Ovis aries: one gene and its partners. The protein of the gene in region 2 purifies or fractionates together with the protein of the main gene of each other region. This does not show direct contact. Links are inferred from orthologs where the notes say so. Each region holds a gene or a part of one and is shown on either strand. Other genes may lie near its edges. The genes, in order: VAPB, TTC1 and VAPA.

Region 1 (3,651 bases), on a different chromosome or scaffold from region 2:
TAATATCCTGATTATTGAATTTAAATTGTTTTAGTGGAAGGAGGCAAAACCGGAAGACCTTATGGATTCAAAACTTAGATGTGTGTTTGAATTGCCAGCAGAAAATGATAAACCAGTAAGTATGTTTATAGTTAACAATAATTGAATGTTGCAAGCTGATACTTATTTGCATACCATCTCCTGCAAAACCAAGATTTAAGTTGGCAAATTATTTTCCTTCTTCTGATGTATGAAGAGAAAAATTCGCTGAAGTCAACAAATAAGTGGGCCTTTGTGAAATCTGCCTTTGAAAGATTCACAGAAAGAACTCATTGAAATTTTTTTTGCCTTTGAAAAGCACAACCTGTTGACTGTTGAAATGTCATAAATTCCGAAGAGCTTCTTTGACTTGGGCAAAGTTCTAGGTTGCTATTATATTTAACAGTGGGAAAGACGGTGAGCGCTCAGCTCCTCTTGTACAGTGCTGTCTGCAGGCTTCCCTGTCTGCATTTCTCCTGAGCACCAACTCTCCACCTCTTGAACCCCAGATTCTCTTCAGTCAAAATGTGCTTTTAGATGAGGATTTCTCACCCTTAGCCCTGCTGACTTTCGGGCCAGGAGTCCTTCGCTATGGTGCTGTCCTGTGCCTTGCAGGGTGTGTTGTGGCATCCTTGACCTCACCCCAGTAGCATCCCTGGTCGTGATGACCTGAAGCGTCTCTGGATGTTGCCAGGTATGCCCTTCCCGAGGCAGAGTCAGTTCCCGTTGAGAATCACCCTTTTTGCTGCCTGAGCACTGAGGGTAAGGAGTGACTCCCTCCCAGCTGCTGGCTCACTTTTCTCTGTGTGAAACCAAAGCATGAGCCCGGTTGGCATGAACCTCCCTTCACCCTAGTCAAAAAACTTAAACTGTGTTAACACAGTTTAAAACCCATGCAGAGTATTAAACCACCCTGGCTGTTAATAGCTGGTGGTGGGAATAGAAATGTTCAAACTCTCAACGTTATCCATAACAATCTCCAGGAATGCTGATGCTTTGTGTCAAAACTACTTAGCATTTTTTTTCTGCTCACTAATGGACCACCGTCACTATCCCATTTCTTCGAATGATTGGTGGTCTTCGTTCCTTTTTTCCCTTCCCTCTTCCCACAGCATGTTCTGTCAGTTGTGGATAGTTGAGGACTGTATTCTGGCCCCAGCTGTGCTCTTGGAGGTTAGCTCTGTGTGTTGAGGTCTTGCTTGCCAGGGCCTCACTCCTCTCCCCTGGGAGACTAAGGGTAGAGCTCGCTGTTCTCCGTTTGCTGCATGGACCCCCAAGGGCTTCCATGCTTCCCCGGCCCCCACATACTCACTCATCCCCAGTAGGTCTTCAGAGGGGATCACAGCGCAGTCGTGGCTGGGGAAGTGAGGAACACATTGCCTCCCCAGGATGAAATACCATAGACACTGAATTTGTTGCACCTTCATCCCATCGCTGCAGTTGTCTTAAGTTCAGGAGACAAATCACCCTCTGGGTTACGTCCCCTCTGGCCTTCTGCCCCCGCCCAGCCAGTTTGGGGGATGTTCGCGTCTTCATAGTGACTTGTGGCTGATGATTCCTGAGCTTGTGCAGCTATGCTCTGCTGATTTTTCATGGCAGGAATTTGATAGTGCAGTGCGCACAGCCCCTTTTCTCTTTCTTTGAAGTATTAGTCTCAGCCGGACTTCATTATTTGCCCTCATCCATAATTTCTGGAGCCCAGTTTTAGATTATGAAGATACTAGGTGATAAAGTGATCTGTTTTAAAAAAATGTGACATTGTACAGTTTGGATGAAACGCTACCCTGGGTGGTGTCTGCTGAGACCTACTTTACTTTGCATGAAGAAGTCCTTTAATACGTGGTTGGTGACACTTGGGCTTTCATTTATTTCTGAACAGCATGATGTAGAAATAAATAAAATTATACCCACAACTACATCAAAGACAGAAACACCAACGGTGTCTAAAGCTCTGAGTTCCTCCTTGGATGACACTGAAGTTAAGAAGGTGATGGAAGAGTGTAAGAGGCTGCAGAGCGAAGTCCAGAGGCTGCGGGAGGAGAACAAGCAGTTCAAGGTAATGGCATTTTGTTTCCTGATCGTCTTCAGGGAATTGGGGCTTTGCTACTATGGTCTTGGGTGAGGAGGTTGATGCAATTTGTGGAGTTGTCTTGTATTTGCACGTTTTTCCTCCAGGCTGAAGTTTCCTAAGGTTCTCAAAACAATCCCTGGACACATGCCTACGTGCATCCCAAAGTAAGAACCAGTGTCCCTTGAGCAGTATTTTTTCAACTATTTAAACTCCTGTCTCCTCATAAAATGACAACAGACAAATAAAAAATCCATTAGTGTAAATTGAAATTAAAAAAACAACAATGGTTATCTTGAGTTCACATTTTCAAGCCCCTTTTCCATCCCCATTGGATGAGAATCTTTTTGAAGAGAGTAAAGACTGACGTGTATTCTGTTTTAAGGCAATCATCATTCTGATTTTTGAATATCCTAAATAGGTCTAGCAGTGGGGTCTCATCCTCTATCAGTATGGTCCGGAGACTGGAGCTGGGATGCTGTCACATCCATGGGGGAGATTACAGGGAACCAGGGGCTCCAGCTTGTGGCCCTGGACCTGGCGAGTGGCCTGGCGCTGGGGGGTGAGGTCGCACTGGTGCTGGAGCGAGGCAGGTGTGCTCCTCTTGGCTTTGGAGGCCTGCGGTAGTGTGGAAATGACCAGCCAAACTTGGACTCACTGTGTAACTTTGTCCATCACAGCGGCTTCTGGCCTCTGTTTGCAAGACCCTGTTAAGGCCCTTCCAGTGTTGAAAGTATGCCTTTCATACACAGGGTTAAAGAGAGTGTTTCTGAACATCTGATTGTAGGATCTTTTGTTGCAGCTTAAGTCTTGAGGCTGATCTGTTCTTTTCATCTTGATCATGTCCCCAGCCACCATAGACTGTCACTCCCTGACTGCGTAGCACCAGGTACACACCATAAATTCACTGCAGGTGACTCTTCCTTCTGTTACTCTGATGAGGTAGGAGACATGGGGGGCCAACGGGGTTTAGAAAGTGGCATCCTTGTCTTTCTCTGCAGTAATCATGCTTTGCCTCATTCAGTGACTGCTGTTGGTATGGAGTAAATTATGAGGCTGACACTCTACTTTTGGCTAAAAGTCTAAGATACGCCTAAAGCTTCTTCTTGAATGTATTTCTCTTCTTTGCCATTTAAAGTGATAAATAGGTGGAAATAGCTTCTATATAAACCCAATAAAATAAATGCTGTACTTTGCTGTGCCCATTTTTTTTTTTTTTGAAGTTAATCGAATAGCACCAGTCATTTATCAGCATGCAGCAATATTGGCCATGCCCCTCAAGCAAAGTGTCTTTAAAATATTATCAGACCAGTCTTGACATTAGAAGATTCTTTATCTTGCCAAACAAGGATTTCTTGTTTTGTGTTGTTTCATACTTTCATTTGGCCACACATTTGCTAAGACCCTCCTGTGTGCCCAGCACTGTGGGATACAGACGTGGGTGGTCCCTGCCCTTAAAATAAGCCCCAGGGTAGCCGGGGAGACACAAATACTGAACCAGTCCCACAGAGGTGGCCATGAGTGTTGTGAGGGGTGGGCTTAAGGTGCTGGCTGCCTCTTGTCAT
Region 2 (3,651 bases):
GGATAAGCACCTTGAAGTCCAGTTTCAAGCATGGCTTCCTGTCCCTTTGAGTCTTATCTAAAGTTCCAGAGGCCTGGAGTAAGCAGCTGGAGCTATGCTAGGACATGTACTACTTGGCTGTTTGATTCATTAACCTACCCTGGTTTGGTAGAAACTGTGCCAGGCTTCCTTCTGTGAAAGTATTCACTCAGCCACTTTTTAATAAGGAATATGAACAGTAATCTGACTTAAGTTTTTCAAAATTATGCTTCTATCCTTCCCACGCCCTTTAAATCAGCAAAATATAGGTGTAGGAAAAGAGAGGCAGCAACTTTAAAGCCCCTATGCTTGTTTCCGGGGAGAAGCTATCCTACAAAAAAAGTGCAAATTCATGTGCTTCTGAAAAAGACAGGGTCCAAGACATACCTGTTTCATCCTTGCTGCAGCTCTGTTGGAAAACAGAACAGACCGGTCTTTCTGGAAACAGGAGGGACACGTCTGCAGGGCACGAGTATAAGAACTTTCGGCTTCTATGTAATCTGAGGATAAGGGAAAATATAAGAAGTTGTTATGATTTTATTCCTGATATTACTGTATTCCAAATGACCTCAGGATGTATAGCTTTCCATTCTATACATTCACCTTTCACTTGGCTTATCAATTTAGTAAAGAGTTTTGAAACGGGATTAGGAAACTGGACAGATGAGAGACTAAAATCTGGAATTAACAGCCCAGAATGAAGAAAAAAACTCTCTCTATTTTTCATTAAAGATATTCTGCTTTCATGGAGTCAACCAGGCTAAAAATGCTTCCATGAAGTGTCTGGAGAGACATTTTATAGAGCTAAAAGAAACTATGTTAGAAACCACTAGTTGACTAAACACCTTAGAGAGAAAATGGTGATAAACTCATACATTCATTGCCACATACAGAATTAGTTAGGATACTAAAAGATAATTGCCTACTCACTCCTTTCTCAGGTTTGAAATATTTAATATTAAAATATAAAGAGATAAAACTTTCAAAGAATCTTTAGTTCTCTTAAAAAAAGAAGTGACAATTGATAGATCAGGATACACGAAAAAAAAATTTTTTTTAACCTAAAAGTAACAAAGGGAAGATGTTACTGCTCCTAGATATCCAAAGCAAAATGAGACGTGACAAATTTGATAATAAGATCAGATAGTTCCCCCAAATCATAAAAATGAACCTCAATTATCCCTAAGCAAATACAAGAAATGCATTAGGACCATCTCTCTAGTTAAGGCATCTATAGAAAAAGGAACTTGAAAGAGCAACTGAAGTGTAAGCAAAACCCTTCTCGAGGCAGCACAGGCCGCACGGGGCCAGTATTCACAGCACTGTCACTAAGTGAGGAACTGAGACCCTCTTTTTACAGCAATGCGGCAAACAGCCTTTTAACATTCTGGATTAGTTTCCCAAAACAAAAACTCAGAGAGCTTTGTTCTTCAGTACTGTTAGCAGTTCAGATCTGCTAGCTGTTTCCAAACATTCTTCAGTGTTTCTTCACAGACTCTACAAAAGAATGAGGAGTCAAGACAGCCAGCATCAGCGCTGAAAAACACATCTTACCTCCCTTCTTAAACTGCTCATTTCCCTCCTCCTTTAGTCTAGAGCTCTCTTCTCTCCTTCTCTGAAAAAGATCAGAGAATGACATAAATACAGTATTATGATAAGTGAACAGAAAGGCCAGCTTTCATTACACTAGGCTATTCAACAGCCAGCAGCTTGACTTTTGAGAACTGGGTCAGTTTTATCTAAATCTCAAACACACAGAAAAAAAACACACGACCATCTGGCTAAACATCAAGTGAATTCTTGACACTAAAAAGACAAAACCCAGGTTTTCTTTGTTTCTGGCTTTTGCATGGAACAGTAATTTCCACTTACTAAAAATGAAACTAATAGACCCACTGGTATGCTTACCTTTATAAATTAAAATTCTAGATCTGCTACTTATTAATTGCAGATGACCTTGGACAAGTTTCAGATCTTTCTGGGTGTTAATTTCTTCATATAAAAATTAAAGCTAATAGATTTATGGGTTAACGTGATATGTATGCAAAGCTTCCAATACACTGGTGAATAAGGGTTCAAAAATTAGCTATTATTTTTCTGTAAAATAAACAATGTCATACTTATTTAGCTACAACTGCACTCTGTGTCATAAGCAGGCATACAGAGGCTGGCAGAGTGTACTATGGGGGATGAGTCTTGTTTGCAGGGTCAGGTGGTATGCTGTTAGCAGGCTAACACAGGGAAATTTGAGAAACCCAGAAGTCTCTTTTCCTAGCCTCTTCTATCAACAGAAATTCATGCAGATGGTAGGGCACTCATGGGACTCAAAGGTAGAGTGAATGTTAGTCTGTGGGGCAAAAAAGACACGTGCCGAGCCCCTATGTGCTCTCAGCCCTGAACACCTTGGCAAGTTGGCCGGCATAAGCAGAGCTAGCATGCCACCTTTGACAGCATTTAAACAAAAGAGAATCTCCAAAAATCTCTTCCTTCATTCTTGAAGTTTCTGACTCAATAAAAACTCCAATGGGAGAACACAAAATTAGCAGACTTTTTCATCGACAGTACAAGCAACATCCTGAACCAAATTTAAAAAATATAATGCTTCTGGAGAAGATCTGTAAATGAGCTGCTGAGATCTGGGTGCTTTGCAAATACCTTATTACGATACTCTGAAAGAAACAGAACACTTGATGAATCTCAATAAAGAAACTAAGAAATAGGTATAAACAGAATCTAATTTTTACGACATCTATTATAGGCCAGATGTTCAGCAGACAATAATAATTCATTTTAGGATATAACATATCTGAAGAAGGCCTATTCCAAGGGAATACAGGAAAATATAAGATGGGTAGTGGTGATGACAATCAAAATACAAAAATGTGGCCACATTTACCTACTACCACCCAGAGGAAGGTGCCTGAACTGTAATATCCTCTGTTGAACTGGTGAGGATTTTTTGTTGTTTAGTCACTAAGTCACGTCTGACTCTTTTGTGAACCCATGGACAGCAGCCTGCCAGGCTCCTCTGTTCATGGTATTGCCCAGGCAAGGATACTGGGGTGGGTTGCCACTTTCTCCTCCTGGAAATCTTCCCGACCCAGGGATCAAACTCACGTCTCCCTGTACTGGCAGGCAGATTATTATTTTTTTTTTTTACCACTGAGTCATTTGGGAAGCCCGGTTAGGATTTCTGGAGGCAAGCAAAAGGACTGTCTATCTCGGGCAAAAAAGAAAAAAAAATTTTTTTAAGGGCTTAAGTTTACTGGAAAGCTACCATGGGGCTCACACAATCATGGGGAGGCCTAAAATATGGACTTATAAGACAGACAGGACTCAAGGCAATTCTGAAGTCAAAAAGCTAAAAAATATTGATGTGTCTTCTAGGAGAAGAGTCTCGCCAAGATAGGGCTGTAATAACAGCCAACAGACCCTAACCATTCCCCCTTTTTTGTCCTAATTTAGATTTAAAGTTTTGGTATGAGCCAAGCATAGTCACATGCCTTGGCTGTCAAGTGAACAGAGTGAACAGGGGGACTGACCAGCACTCAACAAGGGGAGTTTCCTCCATATAAGAAAGGGAATTCTATGCTGGAAGCAAAGAAAACCCCATAATGAATCCAGTTAAAAGTT
Region 3 (3,651 bases), on a different chromosome or scaffold from region 2:
TCATTTATATGTACATCTTTTAAGTGTCATTCTAAACGACATGATGTCACTAAATACTATTCTGTGCCTTACCTAAGTTACTTAAACATTTCACTCTTATTAACATCTGATGGGAAGCTACCACTCTGGGATTTTAAATACCACGTCAACTAACAGCATCTCACAGTGACAGAATGAGATCTTTTAAGTGAAAATTTTCCTTAATATAGTTATATTGCCTTTATAAGGAAAAGGAAAAGAAATGTCATGACCAATCTGTGGTGCATACACGTTAAGACTAGGATGCACAGGATAACAGTGAAGCCTAACACTTGTCAGAAGTGAGCCCAACAGGTCATGAGATGGTCACACTGAGTGAGTGCATACACACCCTGTGCTCACAAGCATTCAGGTCCCTGCAAACCAGTTGGCACACACAGCAGGGGCAAGGAAATCCAATTTACTCATCAACTACTTTATAGTGGAAGCATACAGAACCTAACTCGGGGTGGCTAAAGAAGGGCTGAGTGGGGGCGTCACTGGTGCAGGACAAGCTGGAGACCCCAAGGCTGCTGGGACCTAACTACAGGCTCCACTGCATGGTCCCTCCTCCAAAGTTGCTTCAGACGCTTCCCAAAGAGGAGACAGGTTCTTCTAAGAGCCATGGACACCAACTGGAGGCATTCAACAAGCTGTGACACCGAGCAGTCAAGGAGCAGTGACGCTGCGCACATCTAACACGGCAACTCGGAAGAGACTCGGCAGTCAAGGCCACGCTGCCCTGCTCCACATGACTCAGCCTATCAGCAGCAAGCCCCTCCACCTAGGAGATGAGTTTACTGCTGTACTTTTTAGAAAGCCTCCTTTAGAATTTCAGTTCCAATACTCTGAATTATTCCCTTTAGGGATAATTAGAAAAAGCAAGGGCTTAGGGGCTGCCAGAAAAGGAAAGGTGAGATAAAAGGCAAATTTGGTTTCTGCACTGAAGCCCTGGGACGGACAGAGGAGGGAAAGAACGCACACCGGGGCAACACTCGTGGCTCTTGGGGGAGTGAGGGGTCCAGGGCATGTGCAGAGGGTAAAGGGCAAAGCCCAGAGAACCGCAGGAGGCTCAAATAAGACCTCAGCTGAGAGGAGGCGGTGTTTGAATATAAAGTGACCAAAGTATCAATACATCTGCAGTCTAAACTAAAATCACAAAACTGTTAGAAGTATCAGGCCTTTAGAGAAAGGAGTAGGTTTTTGAAGCCTTAGTGTCCATGTTCTCTGAAAGCTAGAGCTCCCCAGAAGCAGGACGTGTGAAAGAGAGGCAGCCTACAGCATCCAGGACACCCCCAGGAGGTCAAGGTCATCGACAGTGACTCAATGGATGTTAGGTGCACACAAGCATACACACAGGCACACACACGGAGACACTAATAAACTCAAATGTGACCTCAGATCTGTAGGGCTCCTGCTACCATTCTCCCTGGGGGGCACAGACAATTAAAGACAGTGACTGTCAGCTGCATGGGACAGAAGATGTAAGGCAGAAATCTCATTGATCTTTCTTATGTATAAACATAAACACCTGCCTGGAGAGTGACATCCACCAGCTCCTCCCCCTTGACTGACACCTGCTGCCCCCGTCAGATTTTTCCCAGAAGATGCTCCCCAAACCTCTCAGTGACAGTGAAAAAGCCGCCCATTTCATAATAATGCTCCCATTTACACTGTTCTGCTCACGACTGGGATGTTATCGAGTGCTGTGTTTGCTGTTTAAACAGAAGAATTTGTATGCATGGTTTTTAAGTGACTGTGGTTCTGCTGTCATTTTAAACAGCTGAAATTTTCAGTTCTAGTTACTGCACATAAAACACTCACAATAAATACCTCGCACGTGCTCAGTGACTATGTCACCGTGATCAGTGACACTGGCAGACCCGTCTATCTGTCAGCTCCCTGAAACAAACCTTCTGCTTCTCCTGTTTGAACACACTGAAGCCCCTGGGCTCATTCTTCGCACTATAAGTGGTAGGTGCTGTGCCTGTGCTGTTGATGCTGCTCAGCGGAGCGACGGCCACGGCGGGCCCTGGAGGAGCGAGACCCTGAGGTGCAGGGGAAACACAGTCTCAGATTCACACCGAGCTCTGACCACTCCTGCGAGGGACTGGGGATGACTAACACAGAGATCATTAGGCTCTCAACATTCAACTTATTCTATAAAGATGTGTCACACATAAGAAATAGTAATAAATAATAGTTATGTTAGAGCAAAAACTACCTTTTTGAAGTTTTTTTTCTATGAATTAGCTACAATCATCTTGCATTACATTCACTAAACTAAATGTATAAACCTTATTAACCTTAGGCCAGCCTCATGGTGTCCTAGAATGAGGACCTTCTACCTGCATGGCTCCTAATTTTTGTTACTAATGAATACTTGTCAATACCTGAAGAACAAGCACTTCCATTTTCTTACCTTTGAAAACACTCGAATAATGTTTAAATTAAATGAATTTTTTCAAGGGTTCAAAAATTACAATAATTTATACACTTCTGTATTCAGCACAGACACCCCTCCCACAAACACAAACATGCGCACACACCCCCCTACCTACCTCCCAGGATCAAGACACAGACACACAGAACATTCTAGTACACCACTGTATCTCCACAGTTCTCTATCTTCTCAAATTCCTTTAACACACTTAAAGATAATACCATAAAAAATGTTGTAGCAGATCAAATAATACTTACTGATATCCAGGTCACTAAACATAACTATGATAAGACCTCTCCATCTTATCTGATAATGCACTGCTGTCAATCTGTTCTTTATCTCAACAGAAAATAATGCACACGTAATCACAGAAAATCTTTATACACAGGACCCCTAAGGTTCCCTTTCTTGACTGCCCTTCATTCTTCATTACGATAAGTATTTTTTCCTTGAAAATAACATTATATCATAAAGCAAAAGTCATTAACAGATGTTAAATGGAGGGCTTATAAATGAAATGTAATACTTTTTTAAAATTTGGAAAATGTCAAGTAGAGTTGGTGGCCTAAAAAAAACACAAAAAAATTTTATTTCAACAGAATTGAGTAAGTGATCAAATACCATTACTAACAAGTTAATTTGAAACCACACTCATTCTAAAAAAACCACGAACACTAACTGGACGTCAGATTTCATAATACAGAGATAATCGTAACTAACAAGAGTTAATAACTCAGAGAACTGCGCTTGCCATGAACTTACTAAAACGCACCAACAACATGCTCACAGCCCCGAGGACTGGGGGCCACAAGTCTCAGTACCTAAAGGCAGAGCTGCCCAGAAAGTGTTAGTAACAGGACCTCTTTTCATTCTAAAATGAAAGGTTTCTTCGACTCCTAGGCCATTCTATGTACGATCCAAATCAGAGACCTATTTCCCAAAAAGAAGCCCATATTCTAATGATGGTTCAAATACATTATGACTGTTTCATCACAAAAATGACTTCCTTAAACGATAAACAACAACAAAAAAAAAATGGACTCAACCACTATACTAGCACCTTTCCTACAAGATAACCAACACCTTCATTTTCTTAGTTATATATTTGTCATCAAGGTTCTAAAATCCCTAAGGAAATCAACAACATAATAACACACTCTCTTCCAACTGTCTTTAGGAACAGTAAACGC

What was found.
Region 1: the proteins of TTC1 (region 2) and VAPB purify together in Homo sapiens (affinity purification with mass spectrometry; 4 studies listed by BioGRID and IntAct, counting the BioPlex papers as one, with this or other methods). This does not show direct contact. The link is inferred for Ovis aries from reciprocal best matches to the Homo sapiens genes TTC1 and VAPB.
Region 3: the proteins of TTC1 (region 2) and VAPA purify together in Homo sapiens (affinity purification with mass spectrometry; 5 studies listed by BioGRID and IntAct, counting the BioPlex papers as one, with this or other methods). This does not show direct contact. The link is inferred for Ovis aries from reciprocal best matches to the Homo sapiens genes TTC1 and VAPA.

The regions. Positions count from the first base shown.
Region 1 is NC_056066.1:57,609,316-57,612,966, reverse strand, and holds part of VAPB (vesicle-associated membrane protein-associated protein B/C), read left to right. Parts: intron 1-34; coding exon 35-115; intron 116-1,897; coding exon 1,898-2,074; intron 2,075-3,651. UniProt on the Homo sapiens protein: Endoplasmic reticulum (ER)-anchored protein that mediates the formation of contact sites between the ER and endosomes via interaction with FFAT motif-containing proteins such as STARD3 or WDR44.
Region 2 is NC_056058.1:69,207,137-69,210,787, reverse strand, and holds part of TTC1 (tetratricopeptide repeat protein 1), read right to left. Parts: intron 1,634-3,651; coding exon 1,573-1,633; intron 519-1,572; coding exon 406-518; intron 1-405.
Region 3 is NC_056076.1:42,436,266-42,439,916, reverse strand, and holds part of VAPA (vesicle-associated membrane protein-associated protein A), read right to left. Parts: intron 2,067-3,651; coding exon 1,932-2,066; intron 1-1,931. UniProt on the Homo sapiens protein: Endoplasmic reticulum (ER)-anchored protein that mediates the formation of contact sites between the ER and endosomes via interaction with FFAT motif-containing proteins such as STARD3 or WDR44.